Linked DNA regions of Notamacropus eugenii. The protein of the gene in region 2 purifies or fractionates together with the protein of the main gene of each other region. This does not show direct contact. Links are inferred from orthologs where the notes say so. Each region holds a gene or a part of one and is shown on either strand. Other genes may lie near its edges.

The links.
Region 1: the proteins of VAPA (region 2) and FAM83G purify together in Homo sapiens (co-immunoprecipitation; 3 studies listed by BioGRID and IntAct, counting the BioPlex papers as one, with this or other methods). This does not show direct contact. The link is inferred for Notamacropus eugenii from reciprocal best matches to the Homo sapiens genes VAPA and FAM83G.

What each region holds. Positions count from the first base shown.
Region 1 is NC_092874.1:320,030,533-320,037,391, forward strand, and holds the start of FAM83G (protein FAM83G), read left to right. Parts: upstream 1-3,859; 5' UTR 3,860-4,025; intron 4,026-4,331; 5' UTR 4,332-4,579; coding exon 4,580-5,110; intron 5,111-5,126; exon of another isoform or gene 5,127-6,859. UniProt on the Homo sapiens protein: Substrate for type I BMP receptor kinase involved in regulation of some target genes of the BMP signaling pathway. Also regulates the expression of several non-BMP target genes, suggesting a role in other signaling pathways.
Region 2 is NC_092875.1:233,200,899-233,211,964, reverse strand, and holds the start of VAPA (vesicle-associated membrane protein-associated protein A), read left to right. Parts: upstream 1-6,516; 5' UTR 6,517-6,828; coding exon 6,829-6,907; intron 6,908-11,066. UniProt on the Homo sapiens protein: Endoplasmic reticulum (ER)-anchored protein that mediates the formation of contact sites between the ER and endosomes via interaction with FFAT motif-containing proteins such as STARD3 or WDR44.

The DNA of each region.
Region 1 (6,859 bases), on a different chromosome or scaffold from region 2:
TACTCAAACATGGAAACTCTAGTAACATAGCTAGAGAATGACCCTAAAATATAGCTACTACATATGGCAAAGGCACATGGTCTTGTGTGCTGATATTAGAAACAGCACCCCCACACCTTACCCCACCAGCTGCCATCTTCAAACCTAATTTTGTTGTTTAGTTGTTTCAGTCATTTTGTGACTGACTCTTTGTGACCCCCTTTTGGGATTTTCTTGGCAGAGATATTGGAATGGTTTGCTATTTCCTTCTCCAACTCATTTTGCAGATGAGGAAACTGAGGAAGACAGTGTTAATGACTTGCCCAGGGTCAAACACAGCTAGTAAGGCCATATTTGAACTCAGGTCTACCTGGTTCCAGGTTCAGTACTCTATCCACTGTCCCACCTAGTTGCCCAAAACCAATCTGAATCACATATTTGGAGTTGGAAGGAACTTTTGAGATCATCTAGTCCTTGGATGTGGAACCTGCGGCCTCAATGCCACATATGGCCTTCTAGGTCCTCAAGTGTGGCCCTTTGAATGAATCCAAACTTTACAGAACAAAGTCTTTTATTAATGGGATTTGTTCTGCAAAACTTGGACTCAATCAAAAGGCCACACCTGAGAACCTAGAAGACCACCTGTTGCCTCAAGGCCAAAGGTTCCCCACCCCTGAATTCTAGTCTAACTCTCGAATTATACAGATAAGGAAACTGAGGCACAGCAAGGTGAAATAACTCATCTACGAACACAGAGCTAGGATTTGAAACCAGGCTTTTTGATTCCAATACCAAATTTTAATTTCTAATATTCCCTTTTGATGCTTCCAGAAGGGAAGACTGAATACAAAAGACTCATAACATTTTAGAGCTAGACAGGATTACAACATTTAGAACTGAAAAAGGACCTTTGAGATCAAATTCAAATCTCTATGCTTACAGATTAGGTATTTGCTTAGAGAGAAGAAGAGACTGTTTAAGATTGATAGTCATTTATTGGCATTGTAGGGAGAAGATCCCAAGTCTTTTGAGTCCCAGAATCTCTGTCCAGAGCACTGCTCATTTCAGGCAGTACATCAGTCAGTCTATAACGATTTATTAACCATCTGCTATATGCTAGGCATTGTGCTTAGCACTGGGGATACAAAGAAAGGCGAAAGACAGTCCCTGATCTCAAGGAGCTCACAAACAGGAGAGATACCAAGCAAACAAATATTTGCAGACAAGAAAAGTACAGGATAAATTAGATGTAATCAATAGAGGGAAGGAACTAGAATTAACAGGGATCCGGAAAGGCTTTCTATAGAAGGTGGGGTTCTAGCTGGGACTTATAGGAAACCAAGGAACAGGGGATAAGCCCTACTTTTCCTTTCCTGCTCCCTTTTTCATTATATTCCTCACTTTCTGCTCCTTCTTCCATGTTGGTGCAGATTCCTGGGAAGGTGGTAGTGGGAAGCACATATGTATAAAGAGAAAAGATTCCATTTCCTTCAAGTGATATCTGCTACTGCCCAAACTCATTCTGCCTTCTATTTAGCGTCACACTCCCTAAATGGGTGATCAGGCATAATCCCAGGGTTTTTCACTTTTCAGGGTTAGGAAAGAAAACAGCAAAGTCATTGGTTAGTCAATCGTTCAACTCTAGGGAGTATTATCAACCCTATTCTCCCTTACCCATCCACCTATCCCTAAGATTACTAAGCAAATAACTAGAATCACAGTGTTAAATCACTGAAGTCTGACCTAAGACAACATCAAATTGCCCTCCTGGCTCCCTCCTCTTTACAGGTTCAGAAACTGAGTCCCAGAGAGGCAACACTTTTTAACCAAGTTCACACATCAGATAGTGGCAAAACTGGAGTGAACATCCAGGGCTCCTAGACTCCTAGTCCAGTACTTTTTTTCACTACAACATACTGCTTATTCACCAAACTTCTAAACCCATCAGCAATTCACTTCATAAGTCTCTGGGTCTGGCTCCATGTCAGGAGAAGCTAGGAGGAGGTAACATGAGTCCCTGCCCTCTTGAAGCTCATCACATGTAGTTCAATGTCTCCTTCCAAACTAGCTTTGTCATTAGGCTGAGGAGGGACAGCCCAGAAAGCAAGTCCATTTTTTAATGGGCTTTTCTAAGACTCTGGTCAATTAAACCCCTCCCTGCCCAGGCAGCTGTTTAAAGGAGGCTCTAGCCATCAGATGTGGCAGCTGCACCACCCCATAATCCAGAGCCCCCAAGCTCCAGAGACGCCAAGGCCTCTGTCCAGGTAGCTGAGCTTGCTCTGGAGCTGAGGTAAGCCTGTCCTTAGGGGACCCACCCTGAGGATCTGTTCCCCTTAAAGTGATGGCCTTCAGAGGCCTCCACCAGGGGATCTAGCTTCCCTTGTGTAAAGTATGTTAGAATAGCAACGGTGAGGGGAATCTGAAGCATCTCAGGATTGGGGAACTGATCCTACTGTTTAGTCTTCTTTTCAGTCATGTCTGATTCTTTTGGGGTTTTCTAGGAAAAGATACTGAAGTAGTTTGCCATTCCCTACTCCAACTCATTTTACAGAACAGGGTTAAGTGATTCACCCAGGGTCACACAGCTAAGAAGTGCCTGAAACTGGATTTGAACTCAGGTCCACCACTTGTTTCCATTTCACTACCTAGCTGCCCCAACTGATCCAGTAGCAGCATCTAGAGTTGTTAAATCATAAAACTTCAGAGCTGGAAGGGTTCTTAAGCATCATTCACTCCAATAATCCAATCTCCATTCTACAAATAAAGAAACTGAGGTGGATGAAAGTGGTCTTCTCAAAACACAGTGAGCCAAGCTCAGAACCAGGTTTCCCAACTTGAAAGCCATTGCTCTTTCAACGACACCACTTTTAACTGCCAAAGAGAAATAGCACCACAGACCTACAGCTGGAAGGGATTGTAGAGATTATTTAGACCACCCCTCTTCACTTTACAGATAAAAAAACAGGGCCAGAGAGGTGAAACGATTTGCCTAGAGTCATCCAGATGGCAAGCAGCAGAGAAAGAACCTGATCTTCTAAGAGGAAGGTGTCTTTTTTCTTGGCTGCACACCTGGGGAGGTGGCTAACACCCCCATCACTGGGAATTAATGAAAACCGTACAATCAACCTCTATGGAGGCCCTGCCTCTGATCCTATGCTAGGTCCTGTGGGAATGCCAAGACTGGAGGCCCTCAAGAAGTTTACAGTCCGGGGAAAATAACACAAGCCAATGCAGCTGTGGAGTAGTGGGGAGTCCTGGAGGGAGACTTGGGAGGACTGAGGTCTAATCTTGGTTCTGTTTGCTACTGCCAAGCTGTGTAACTTTGGCTGTCACCTCCTCTCTCTCTGGGTCTCGGTCTCCTTAGCTATAAAATGCCGGGCTTTGGAATTTTCAAACGAGGAAACTGAGGCCCGGAGTGGTTCATCTGCAAACTCCTCTCAACGTCTAAGATAAATGAATCCCCAGGAGGTCCTGGGGTCTGTAAGCAAGCCTGTTCAGCGTGGGGCAGAGGTGAAGCGAAGTGGGCTGGCTGGTCCTGGGCTGGGAGGCCTTGCAGGAGGAGCTGGGACCCGCCAGACTCCCAGCAGCCGCATCAGGCTCCCTCTCCAAGGTATGGGGGGGGGGGGCTGGGGGAGGAGACAGAGGAGGGGGTTAAGGATGGGTGCCGGGAGGGAGGAGCAGGGCCGGGAGTGGGGAGGTGTTAGGGGACTAATCCCCGCGGCGTTCGGGAATGGGGGGCTCGGCTTCTCCCCTCCGCCCCTCGGATCGCAGACGCGGCGGGAGACACCGCGGGTGACTCAGCTTCCTGGGTCCGACTGGGGCAGGCTCCAGAGGCACCTGAGAGCCCAGAGGGCGGGGCCACGGTGCACGTGACCGCCCCTCCCCCCCGCAGGTGGGGCCGGGCGGGGCCGTGACTCAAGCGGCTCCTGGCGGCTTCCGACCCGTCGCCTCCCGCCTGTCATTCGCTCCGCTTTCCCTGGACGGCCAGCGCTGCGTGCCCTTCGCCGGCGCGGCCTCTTGGACCCAGGCTGCCGGGGAGAGCCGGGGTAAGAAGGAAACCCCCACCTGCCCGGCCTCCTAGCTGCCCACCCAAAGGCTCCATCTGCCCCCTCTGCCGCGGACCGGCCGGCGCTTGGCCGTGCTTGGAGATCCGGGCTGGCTGTGCTGGCCCCTGGGAGCACCGTGGGGGGTTTTCTGGGGGTTGGGGGAAGGGACGAGAGACCAGGCCGGAGGAAGGGGAACACCAGGTCCGGCCCCCCACCTAGAAGCCCCCTCAGACTTCCAGCCCGTCCAGCCCGGACTGCCCTTTCTGCAAGCCCTTATTCATACTCTCCGTCTCTTTCCCCAAACAGGTTCCCTATGGGCAGAATGCAGGTGAAGCCTGTGCGTGCCAACCACTACCCGTCCTACTGGGCCATCGCTGGGGGGTCAGGCATCTGAGCTCCGGATCCGAGGAGCAAGAAGGAAGGGGGGGGAGAGAAGAACACCTTTGGCCTCCGGGAAGCCCCCTCCTAACCCCTAGTTTAACTCTGCTCCAGCTCCCGCCACCCTTTCCTCCTTCAGGCCTGACTTGACCAGTGTATGTACCCCTGGCACAGCCATGGCGTACTCCCAGGTGCAGTGCCTGGACGACAGCCATGTGAACTGGCGTTCTAGCGAATCGAAACCTGAATTCTTCTATAGTGAGGGGCAGAGGTTGGCCCTGGAGGCCCTGGTGGCCAGGGGCCCCGAGGCCTTCTACGAAGTTCTCAAGAAGGAGAATATCCGGGACTTCTTGTCCGAGTTGGAGCTCAAGAAGATCCTGGAGACAATTGAGGTCTATGACCCAGGGTCTGAGGACCCCCGGGAACACAGAGGCCTCTGTGAGGGCTCTGGGCCCGATGATAAGGAAGAGAATGGAGAGGGAGGTGGTGATGCTGATGCTGATGCTGATGCTGATGCTGACCTGGTCCCTTCCTTGGAATACTGGCCACAGAAGTCAGACCGCTCTATCCCGCAGCTGGACCTTGGTTGGCCCGATACCATTGCCTACCGTGGGGTGACCCGTGCCAGTGTGTACATGCAACCTCCCATCGATGGACAAGCTCACATCAAGGAGGTGGTCCGGAAGATGATCAACCAGGCACAGAAGGTGAAAAGGGATGGGGAATCCTGAGGGTGAGGGAAGGGGAATAAGGGCTAACATGTATATGGAGCTTTAAGACTTGCAAAGAGCTTTACAGATATCTCATGTGATCCTCAAAAAAACCCTGGGAGCTAGATGCTATTAGTACCCCATTTTACAGGTGAGGAAAGTGAGGCAGACAGCAGTAAAGTGATTTGTCCAGGGTCACACAGATATTTGAGGCCAAATTCGAACTGGGCTTCCTAATTCCTGTCCCTGGATTTTGCCACCTAACTGCCTTTCAGGAAAGATAGGATTCCTGGATTTTCTTGCACAGTTCACTATATGTCATTGACAGAAATGTTTCCTTAGAGGTCAGGAGACAGCAGGCTTCAGTTTCAGGGCACTGAGGGGGAGAAGAGACAATGATCTTCAAAACTGAGGGAATGCTTGTTAGACAAGAATGAGAGAGAATCTCTTATCTTTGAACTGACTACTTTCACCTCCTACCTACTCCCCTTTTGCATTAAGATGCCAGGGATGCCTTTTCAAATATCTTTGTTAATTCATATCAGCTTTCTCTTCCTTTCTAAAAAGCCTTCCTGAGAAAATTCGGTAGCTGAACAGATTTTACCTTTAGGCAATGGCACAGTGTGTGTCTGTGTGTTCCTCTATGACATAGTGAATAGTAAGAAAGCTCCTGCCTACGCAGATGAGTATTTGATGAAACCAGGGTGGGTGTGGGCATGACTCAGATCACAGTAAGGTCTGAATCTAGGATTTGGGACCAGAAATTCTCCTAGGGTGTCCATAAACATGTGATTTAGACTCTAGAGGGCAGCTGGAAAATAGACAAACTCATCCCAACTGTGACTAAGATGAACACTGTAGTCTGAGAAAAACAGTGTATTGGGCTAAGGGATTGGGTCTAGGTTTAAGTCCACACTTTGCCTTGGTAGTGCTGGGTGATCTGAGGAAGTCACTTGACTTCTCTGGTCCTCTGTTTCTGCTTGGGTAAATTTTAGGATACAGAGTAAATTTATAGTCTGCTTCTGGAGCCAGGGGATTTGATGCTGACTTGGCATGGGCAGGCCAACATTTCATTACTGAGTTGAGGACTGGACAAAGGTAGCAAGTTGCTGAGTAGGAAGAGTCAGAGACTTCAGCAAAGGATATTTAGGCTGAATCTTTGTAGAAGCTGAGAGTTGAAAGGAACCTGAAAGATAATTTGGCTCCACCTCTGCAAGTAAGGAGGTGGAACATGATACAGACTCAGCTTCCCTTCATTTTAGTTATACTCTCCAGTTCAAAACACAAACTCCTTCAACTGAGATCTGAGATTTGTTTTTTTTTTTTAGCCTTACAGAGCATATTGAGTAGCTTTCAAACCCTGCCTGCACTTTAATTCTCTGTGTGTATGTACGTATGTATGTATGTATGCATGCATGTGTGTGCGTGTGTGCATGTGCACACACAAACAAGCTATTAAATAGGACTTTCCACTTAAAAGAGGTCTTGCTTCAGCCTTGTTTGGCTGTAAATGAGCTGCTATTTTGGTCACATTTACACTTTGAATAATAGGAAGGAGAGCTCCCAGAGCCCTTCAGGATCACTCAGTCCACTCCCTTTATTTTCACAGATGAGCAAACTGAGGTTCCCAGAAGGTTACTCAAGTACTAAGTGGAAAAATGGAGATTTGAACCCAGATTTCCTGATTGCAAATCCAATACTCTTTCTCTCTGCCTTCTGGTGCTTTTTAGAGATTGGGGTCATCCT
Region 2 (11,066 bases):
ATCTTTTTATTCCTTGACAGATTTTTCATGAAGGTTTCCTTAGGTGTAGTTCTCTGCTATCCATTTGTTGCTGGGCCTGGCTGCTCCCCTGCTTGTAGGCTGGGAAGAGGGAAACACCAGCTATCACTGAGTTTAATTACTTCTGGGCTAGGATGATCAGCTGCACCCCCTGTAATCTCTCTTGTTCTTAAGATATCCACAAAGTTGCTTCCTGAACTCATCTAGTTCTCTTCTTTTATATAGTCATAAAATTTTTTCTCATTAGCCATGTCCAAAAAATAAAAAAGAAAGAAAAATAGAAAAAGACATGAAAATATGCTGTAATCTGTACTCAATGCATCAGCTTTCTATCTGGAAGTGTATAACATGTTTTATCATGAGTACTTTGGAATTGTGATTGGTTATTGTATTGATAAGATTTCCTAGGTCTTTCAAAGTTGGTTTTCTTTGTAACATTGTTGTTATTGTCTAAGTTGCTGTCTTACTTCTGCTTACTTCACTTTGTGAACACTGAGGAGGAGATATAGTCTTGTTTAGGGACCCAACTTGTCTCCTAAAATGGGAGCTGGGTTAAGGACTCCAGTTTCTATAAAGGCTACATCAATGTAGTAGTATTATTGACTGACAACCACTGTCATTGCAGACCTCCTAGTGTGACGGAATGGTCCCACCTAATCAGTGTCTGGTGGACCGGAGAATGAAAAGGTGAGGGTGATGGAGAATATGTTAATATTGTTATGTCACAAGCATGTTAAAATTTATAATTAGGGAAAAAGTAATGGAGAATCCACTTTTATAATTAGCTTTCTTCTTGACCATTCTTCCAGCTCTTCCAGAGCTGGTCTGCTTGCTCCTTATAAAGGCCACAGGGGTGAAAACTAGTCATTCTCATCCAAAGGCCAACACATTGTAGTGTTATTGGTTCTTCATTCACACTTTATTGTCCTGTTGTTTAGGTAACCCCTTATTGTTCAGGAAAATTCCTAAACATCTCCTTTACACAATTAAAAAAATGTTTTCTTTTTCATCTGTTATTGCACACACTCTCCCTCTCCTTTGTAAGTTTTCTTGTGCTTTATTATATGCCCTTTTTAAAAATAACCTAAAAGGTTGGTGTGCTATTACTGGATAAGAAAGAAACTTTTTAGCCTTCTCTTAGCCATAGTCCTGTTGGTAAGGAACATAGAAGAAGAGTGAGGGGGGAATAGTAGTGCCAGCTATCTAGGGCTTGGTGTCTTCAGTGTAAAAGGCTATCACCCTACATGTAAATTGGGAGGGTTATGTGGTTTAAAGGGAGGCAAAATAGACATCTCTGTCTTCCTCTCCCCCCACTCTTCTCCAAGGGAGACTATTTCCTGCCAGGAGGAGAAGTAGGAGTTTGGAGCCAAAGCTTGGCTACTTTTCCTCAGAGAAGGGGATTCCTCAAATAATTATTTTTCTAGGGGATATGGTTTTCAGGTTCAATCTAACTTCTGATCATTGTTTCATCAATGTGGGAAGCAGGACCCCAAGCTTTCTTTATATTTAAAGATTAACTCCTCACCAAATATCAATTCTACAGTGAATACATATAGGAGATAACAAAAACCAAAACAGAAAAAAACAAAAAAAAAACCCCAACAAAACCCTCATTTATCCAAGTGAATAGAAAAACAGAAATCAGAGAAAGAATAGATAGGAGAATATATACCAGATAATACAGTGAAGGAATTCTCCCATTAGGATTGAGATAACTCAGTTCAACTAAGAAAGAGTCCTAGATTTCATCCAAAGGGGAGTTCCTTGAAGTCTTCAGTGTAGCAAATTGGGGAAAGGCACATAAGGAAGACTGACAGCTCCTACAGTCTGTTTTTTCCCCAGCAACCTTAAGTGGGGCTGGCATCTTGAATCTTCTCTCTCTAACCTAGAAGGCAGAATTATTCAAAGCCTGAAGAGACTGAAAAATCTGAGAAAACTTAAGAGATTGATGAGGTCTCTACTTTCCCACTTCAAATCTGCGGGTACAGGGCCAGTGATTTCCACCAAAGAGAAGAGTCACATCCTAATAGGTTTGGGGATTTTGGTTACGTAAGACAAAGGGGGTGGGAGAAATCGGCAATGGTCACTTGCTCTTTGACTCAAACTATAGTCACATACTGCCTCACAACTGCAGCTAATCATGCCTACAGGTCAGTTAATAACCATATGTATGTAACTTTTGAGTGGCACACTTTGGGGGATTTCTCACTTCTGCTTATTGTTACCAAAGAGATGATTTTGGAAAACTTCAGTATCTAACACAGTGCCCCTCCCCAAGCCCATGGGTATAGTTAAAAACTCTCCTTTTAGCTCATGGATTCACAAAACTCAAAACATGAATAAAGTTTTTTAGCAGTTTATGGAAAGCAATAATGAATGCTTTTGTAAAGTCTATAGAAAAATAGAAATACCTAGCAGTAAGCAACTTTCTTCCAATTTCCTTTCTAAAGGGTCTTTTGGTCCTGGGACAATTTTCCTTGGGTAGTCAGGGGTGGTGGTGGGGGGTGGGGGGTTGTCCCGGGTCTGTCCCCGGGACCTTCGAGTGAGAATCTCCCTTCGGTGGGCACCGCTTCGGACGTCTCCGGACCTACCCCGGGGGACACGGCGGCAGGCAATAATCAGGAAATGCGCAGGAGGTTCATAGCTTTATTGCATGGAGGAGTCCCACGAGCAGTTCAGGGCGTTGTCTTATATAGGGAGGTTCTTCCGGGCTGCCATCCTAACCCGCCCCGAGGGCGAGGCCTACCACCCGATTGGATCCAGCCCACCCGACCAATCCCGTGGGCTCACAACTCCTCTATGGAAGCCGTGTCCCCCTCGGATTGGTGGGCTGCCACTCCCGGGGAGGCCCCTATCCGCCCAGGCGCCTAGGACCGACCCCCGTCAGGGGGTGGGGGTGGGGTCTCTTCAAATTACCTGGGAGCAATTTCCTAAAGTATCTAGGGAAGGAAGGGAACAATAACATCTTGTCTTTCACAATGTTTTGTAATCATTGCTACAAGATTATTGACAGGATCACCTAGATCTACATGGAAAAAAAAGTTCACTCTCCTCTAAGTTTTGTTTTTTTGTAAATGGTGGCATCCTATAGACACAACCTAAGTCAAGGAAAAACTCCACTAAGCTTTAGTACACAGCAATTTGACCAAATTCTAGTTTTGGTAATTTTATTTTGCCCTCATAAATGCCTCTCTAATTTCAACAAGCTAAAGAACAAGCATGAATACAGAAGGCTGTTTCCTATCAACAATTTTCTATTTAGTAGGAGTGTAATTTTTGTTAAATCTTAATACTTTCTGTGGAATATCAGGTTCTTCAGTAAGACCTGACACCTATGCAAATGAATATGTTGACAAACTATTCAGACTAATTTCAGCTACTTTTAAGAAGTATTTAAATAGTTACAAGGTTAATTTATGTAAAACTTTGTTTACCATTGGAGTATTTCAAAGCAAACAATGGTAACATTTATTTTATTTATTTAGTCCCAATATGGCCAAGGAAATATTTCCTAAACTCTTTTAGTTATATTTATTGTAGAAAAATTCTTAATTTGAAACTTTGTAAGGTGTCACTCTGGCAAGAGATTGAATAATCTATCATACTTCCAAAATAGAGAAAATGCTCTTAGGCTTTTGGAAACAATTATTTATATTTTTGTATATTTATGTATAATATTATTTATATATTATATATTTGTATAAATTTTATACTGATATAAATATTATAGGACTTAATAGTACATTAAAAATGCTGTTGCTTAATATCTTGGCAAAGAATACTGGAGTGCTTTGCCATTTCCTTCTTCAATGTGTCCCAATTTTACAAACCAAGATCGGAGGCAAATAGGAGTTAAATGACTTGCCCAGGGTTGAACAGCTAGTTCAATTTGACAGTAGATTTGAACTCAGATCTTCCTGAATCCAGAACTGATGCTTTATCCATTTCACCACCTAGCTGCCCACCTTAAAAATAGCTGACCTCAAAAGTCTACCCTAACCCAAAGTATTTTCTTTTTCTTTTAATACCATTTTCTTCCTCATGCTCCACCTGGGTTTCTCCATGGCACTCATCCAGACTTGGCCTCATTAAAAGTTATGTTAGTGTGTATGTATCCTCTAGATATTTTTTCCTTTACCTTACTTCCTTGTCAAAAACAGTTTTCAGCATGCCATCTCTTGGAAAGTTCCTGAAAAACTAATTTACACTAAGCTTTAACAGGGACTGCATGTTTCCCAGGAATTCTGGATATCTTCCCAGTGACAGCACAAGGAATGAAATTCTTATGTTGGATGTCCAGGAATCAGCATCAGACCAATAAAAGGCACTTTGGAAGTGGAGGTCCCAAATCTAATCATGTAAGCAAGGACTTTTTCTACCTGCCAGGCAAGCCCTGATGACATATGTTGATTACTGTACAATGGAAGTGGACCAGAATGACATCACTATGTCAGGGTCAGTGTATAATGTGTCTGACTGGCTGATCAGACCAATGCAAGCTTGGAAGACTTTACCACAGGTAGGGCACAAATAGTCCATATGAACATTTGTAATGGAGATATCTCTAAATTTTGTGTATCTCACTTTGAGTGACTGCAATTCTGCTTTGCTCATGGAGCACACAGTACCTTCTTTGATTCCTACATGCCACGATGGGCAGCCCTGTGCCAGAGTTTCTCATATCTCCCAAATGATTCCAAATGCAAAATGTTACTGACAAGTTAAACATAAATAAAAGACACATTCATTTTGGCCAATGGCCTTATGTGATTGGGGTTTGTTTCTTTAGTTTGAAGGTGACACCTCTTCTATGAGGGTGCTAAGCACTCAATTAGCATTAAGTACCTACTAGTGCCAGGCACTGTGCTAAACTCAGAGGACACAAAGGAAGGAAAAGACAGACCCTACTCTCAAAGAGTTTATAATCTGAGGGGGTGGGAAAAGAGACAGCATGCAGACAAGCATTTACATATACAAGACGAACAGGAGAATCTTGGACGGAAAGTTCTACCTTCTGTGAACTGCGACATTAGCAGCTGTAGCTAGCTTTGTTGTTGTCCGGTCACCACAGCTTGCCAATGCCGTCCACAGGGTTTTCTTGGCAAAGACAATCAAGTGGTTTGCCATTTCCTTCTCCAGTGGATTAAAGCAAACAGAAGTGGTTTGCGAGGAGGGATCTGGTCTTTCTGACTCCATATCCTGCACGCTAGCTGGCCGGTGTAGCGGCCCCCTTTAGCTATCTACCTTTGTTAAATTTAGGCATTGATTCCAAGTCCTCTGCTGGTGGGGCTAGGCATTATTACGGTGCCAGTTCTGCCAGGTATTTGGTTTCTATACAAACCGAGCCACTACTTGGAGGACAGCTGCTAACCCCCACAACACTGCATTACCCTAGGACAGTCCACCACACTCTCCCAGTGCTAAATTTGAGGGTCCTTGTCTTATCTTTGTTGTTAAATCATCAATTAAAAAAAGTTTTGCGGTCTGTTGCCATCACATTCAGAGACCCCACCGCGTGAATAGCACATGGGAAAGTTCGTCCTATTTCGTTGAGGAGAAAGGCTGGTGCTCCGGGAACCTCCCCTAATCAAACCCTCATTTATATTTGCTCCTGGCTTCATGCCACGTTCGTGTTTTCAATGCTAGTATTATTTATCTGGTTTTTGCGTCACTGACAATAAGGCATATTTCAACACACCAAGTACTGCGGCCCTTCTCGGAATACAAAGTGTTGGATTAGAAGTAAGGCCTTTCCATCTCCCCTCCCCCACCCCCCCCAAAACAACAAAACCGCCAAAAGAAGCATCCACCCCCAAATCTAATTATATATAGTTCCTTCTCTGGAAGAGGTGGGTGCCTGGCACTCCAGAATCAGCCAGAGGGTTTTCGCGAAGGCTTCCAAAGCCTCGCGTGGGGCCGATGCGCCCCGCCCAACATCTGTCCAACCGACTTTGCTCCTCTTCCCGCCCGCCGCCGGCCTGTCGGCTTGCCGGTCCTGCCGCTATTACAAGTTCCAAGGTGCACTGCGCATCGGGCGCCCCAAGGAAGACTCCGACTCCCAGCATGCTCCACCCCCAATGGCTAGGTCTCTACACTCCGCCCGCCTGGAACGTTGTATGCTGGGAGTCGTAGTTTCTGAAGGCGTCTGCCCCAAGTCGTTTCCCTCGCATCCGTTCCTCAGCTCCAACCCTAGAAGGTGTCACCTCCGTGCGGACTCCCAGATCCCGCGGATAGGGGAGGGAAGGGATTGCTTCTGAGCACAGGCATCTTCAGTCCCGCGGAAACTCCGCCCCCTTTTCCCTCCCTTCCCCCCGCCCCACGCCGCGACATTTCCAGTTCCACTGACAAGAGTCCCAGCAAAGCTTTCGGGCTGCAAGAAATTTATAGAACACGCGGGAGCGCGCAGGCGCGTGAAGGCCCATGTCACATTAAGGTTCCAAGGGCGGGACGGGCGAAGAGGAGGCCCAGGCCGCCGCGGTGGCGCGCACGCTGCACGCAGAGGAGCGTCACGTGGGGCAGCGAGGATCGCAGTGCGCGTGGCCGCGGTGGCTGGTGTGGGGTTGAGTCAGTTGTTAGTGGAGGGGGGGGAAGCGACTGGTCGTCAGACTGCCCGATCCGCTGGCTGGAGCAGGAAGCGAGCGAGCGGTGAGCCCAGGCTGGTGACTGTGCCCTTCTCACAGCCCCGGCGCTTCCCCCACTCTCCTCCACCTCGGGCTCCTCCCACTCTCCCTCCCCCGGACACCCCCCTCCCCCCCACCGGGCAAACCGCCGCCTCGGGCGCGCCCCCGCTCCCCCTGCGCTGTCTCTCCGATGGCGGCCGCTGCCGGGGCCATGGCAAAGCACGAGCAGATTCTGCTCCTCGACCCGCCCACAGACCTCAAATTTAAAGGTAGGTAGCGAGGTGGGCCTCGGCGAGGGGAGCGGGGAGGTCTAGGCCGTCGGCTCCGCTCTTGGGGTGCTTTCCCTCTTCCTTTTTTTTCGGTGGGGGTGGAAGGTTTGACGAGGAGGAAGGAGCGTCGTCCGCCCCCCTCGCCTTGTTCGCCGTGTTTCTGTCCGCGTCTCCCAGCTTCTTCTCTTCTTTCTCGGCGTCAGCCTTTCCTCTCCGCTCCCCTCCCCCGCCCGTTCCCACTCACTCAGTTTCACGCGCGCGCACGCCCAGCTTGTGCCGGGGGCTGGGGGGGGGGGCGGAGGAGGCCGAGGCCCAGGGAAGGGAAGGGAAGGCGAGCGAGCTCGGGGTGCCGGGACCAGGCGCCTTGGCCGCCATCTTGGGATCCCGCCGGGAGGCAGCTTGTGGGTCTTGGGTTCGCGGCGGTCGCTTCTGTTCCTGACCTTCCCTCCTTGCGCCGGGGGCTCGTTGGGCTTTCTTGGGGCGGGCGAGGGAGGCGACCTCGGAGCGTGTGCGCCCGGGGGCTCCTGCCAGGCCCGGGGGTAGCGCGTGCTGCTCCCGCGGGCTCGGGCCGGGGCGGCTTGCCGGGCCCCTCGGCTCCTTCCCGGCGCCCCGTCCTGAGGTCCGCTCTGCCGCCCGGATGCGGGCTGGGGGAGGCTGAGGAGCGGGGGGCTTGCTGACCTCCTGTAAGTAGTGCGCCAGGGGAGGGGGCGCATGTGTCCCTCGCTGGTGCGGTTTTGCCTGCCCATTTGTGTTCCAGGGTTTGCGGTTCCCATAGAAAGTCAGAAAGGAAACTTAGGAAAACTCCTTAGTTCAGAGGCTTTGTTGTAAAGTAATTTCGTACCAGAACCTTTGGTTCTTCCATACCTTAAGAGGGGAGACATCACGCTCTTAAAGGACTTGGCATCTGAAGGACCTGGTGGTTATAGGCGCCTTGCCCTAGTTTTGGTCGTCCTCTTCCCTCTAACTCCGCTGTGGGCTTGGACAAGTCACTTACTTTCGTGTGTAAAGTGAGGAAGAAGGATGAGTGTCATTGGACTAGGTAGTCTTCCTTCCACCTGCTGTCTTCAATGCTAAAGTGGTACTAGTGGCTAGGGTTCTTCCACGTCTTTTTTCTGGTGACCTTAGGAGACATACATCTTAACATTAGTGTCTCCTTTTACCGCATTATGGCCTTGAACAAATCACTTCCAAGTTAATACAGGAAATCACTCACAGTCCGAATGAGGGTCAAAGGCGATAATGCTTGGGACAGGGACGTAGAGATGATAGATATAAATGAGCCTAAAGTTGTAAAAATACCTGAAACTGTAAATGGACCTAAGTTGGTGAGAGTGGGCAGAATTATCTTGGAGGTGATGTCTCCGGTACTATTTTCTGTTTGCTATTATTGTAGGAATCTAGGTGCTCTTTGGGATATCAAACATTGTTTAGGGGACTTAATGAATGAATGAAAAAAGTTATTAAGTGTTATTGGTGTCACAGGCACTGTGCATTAAGATCAAGGAAGTATATTTTAGGTGTTACATCTAAGGCATGACTTAACCTTGTTAAATAGTTAAGTCCTATGTCTTTTTAAAAATTCAATTTTAAAAATTCCGTTTAGTTTAAAAAAAAATTAAAGTATTTCAAAGGGTAAAATGAAACGTGATGAATCTGTTATGTTCTGGGAAGTGTCAGGCCAACAGGAAAATACTTGCATTCCTGCCAGCAACTCATCACAGGAAAGTTAATATAGCAAAGTTGCTTTATACATCCAGGAAATTCGTTTTATGAAGCTTTGGTGTTAGGATACTATTACACAACTAGTGCTTGGCTTTTTACACTGGATTATTTTCTGTGATTCTATAGAAAAGTTATGTAAGCAATTGAGTAAGAGTTTTGTTTCAAGGCAAGTATGAGAAGATTTATTGTTTTGAGGAGTTATGGGACACCTCTGGAAAGAACCAGGTTATGTATATTGTATTCATTCATATGGTTTTAATTAAAAAAAAAGACCTTTCCTGAAAGCCTGAAATTACATCAATAGCCACCTGCTGTTAAAATATTTTGATGTAATCTATAGTGGTGAATACTTTTGTATGTATGTTTTTTTACTTTATCCTGTTGCTTTGGTAGCCTGTGTTCCTGAAATAATATTGTCTATACAAGATAAAGTCTCTTGTGCTGCCATCAGTCTTGGAAATTAGTATTAGGTGAGAAGCTGCCTTATTGGCCAAGTTGGAGGGTTTCTTATGAGAAAATGTTGCTGTTGGGATGAAGAAAGGGGACCCTCTCACCTGAGGTGAAAGGCCCTTGCTTATCTTTTATGCATTCAAAACTGGACCTGTGCTTCCAATGTAATCATAAATGTTTTGAGCATTTAGAAGTTATTTTTCAAACTTAGGAAAACATTGTACCCTTCACTCCAATAAAAGAATTAATCATTAAAGATGGATGCGTTCAGTTTGGTTTAACTGGACACCAAGAAAAATAGAGAAAGCCTATTGTCTAGATTTTGCTATACAATCCGTAGACCTGGTCCACAGATAAATATATTTTGGACTGATGCTGTAAATGGACCTAACTGAGGAGAATAGGCTAGATTACCTTTGAGATGTCATATATTTAGTTCTTTTGATAGTCTGAAGCTTCTCTTTAACAAAGGCAAATCTTTTTCACTGAAGTGTAAAGCAGGTAAGTGGTTCAGTGGGTTATAGTACAAGCCTGGAGTTGTGAAGACATAAGGTCAAATCCTGACTCAGACACTTCAGAACCATGTGACCCTGGGCAAGTTACTTAACCTGTTTCCCTCAGTTTCCTCATCTGTAAAACAAATAACAATAGCACTTAACTCTTTGGGTTGCTGTGGGGATCAGTGAATTAATAACTGTAAGGCATGTACTTAGCATGGTGCCAGACACCAGCAGTCATGGTAATAAATATTAGCTATTGTGATGATGCTATATAACTGCACATTATGGAATAAATTTAGTGCTTGTCCAAAGGACATTCAAGAGGCACAATAGTGGGCACATTATAAATGAATTCTAGGAGTAAAGTGTGCTGTCAGATGATGAAGCGCCAGTTATATGGTGAAAGCAAGAGAAAAATTGACAGCCTGACTGCTCAGTTGGTATCTGTACAACATCAAGAGAAAGAAAAGCATATTGAGTGGACTCCTTGTGGTAAATTTATGTGTCTCTATGCATAAAGGATAGCAATTATGAATGGGTTGAGATCTGCATCCTTGAGGGCAGTACTACTACCTACATTGAAATTCTGATGTAGTAGAAAGCACTGGGAATCTTTAGTCCTGAATTCAAATTGTTGCTTTGCACCTTATTCCTTGTGTGATTTTGGGCAAATCACTTAACCTTTTTAGACCTCAACATTCTCTTCTTTGCTTCCAACTCTAGATCTGTTATACTATTGTCCTTTATGAAAATGTGGCCATTCAAACATTAGATCTTTGAATTAATGATGTGAATTTGAGGACTAGTCAGAGTTTTGACGAACTTTTAAAGAAATTGTAACATTTGACCTCAATAGGGGGATGGCCTGTTTGGGTATTCACTTATAGGAGAGTTGTCTTCAAATGGGCAAATACTTATACACATAACTAACTTAATATACTGACCAGTATATTAGAATATTAAAAGAAATGGGTAGAACAAATCGATAAAATAAGTGCAATTCTTCAATTTATCTTTTCTGTATTTTTGAATACGCTTTTTAAATGATGCTGTAGCTGAAGCTTGAACCATTTGGGGAAAAGAGGGATGCATTTCCATTAGGTTTTTTATCTGGTTTCCCCCCCAATATTGTGCCCAGAATGTACTCAATCCCCTGCTAGATTCAGCTCTCTTTGAGCCTTTGAAGTAATTCATTGAGACTACTACAGACCCTCTTGGGTGTTACATTGACCAGAAGTTGGAGACTAATCCCCTATATAGGGGACTATATAGGTTTCTTAACCTCTCTGAATCCCAGTTCCTCATCTGTACATTGAACTAGGTGAGTTCTGGTATCCTATCCAACTCACATGTGATCCTGTGAATCATTTTCTACCTGTTTTCCTAACCTGTGGTAAAATTGAAGGGATTGGATTAAATTATTTTTTAAAAGTTCCTTGCATTTCTAAAGACCTAAGATCCTATGGCAGTTGAACATGCAAAGGCAG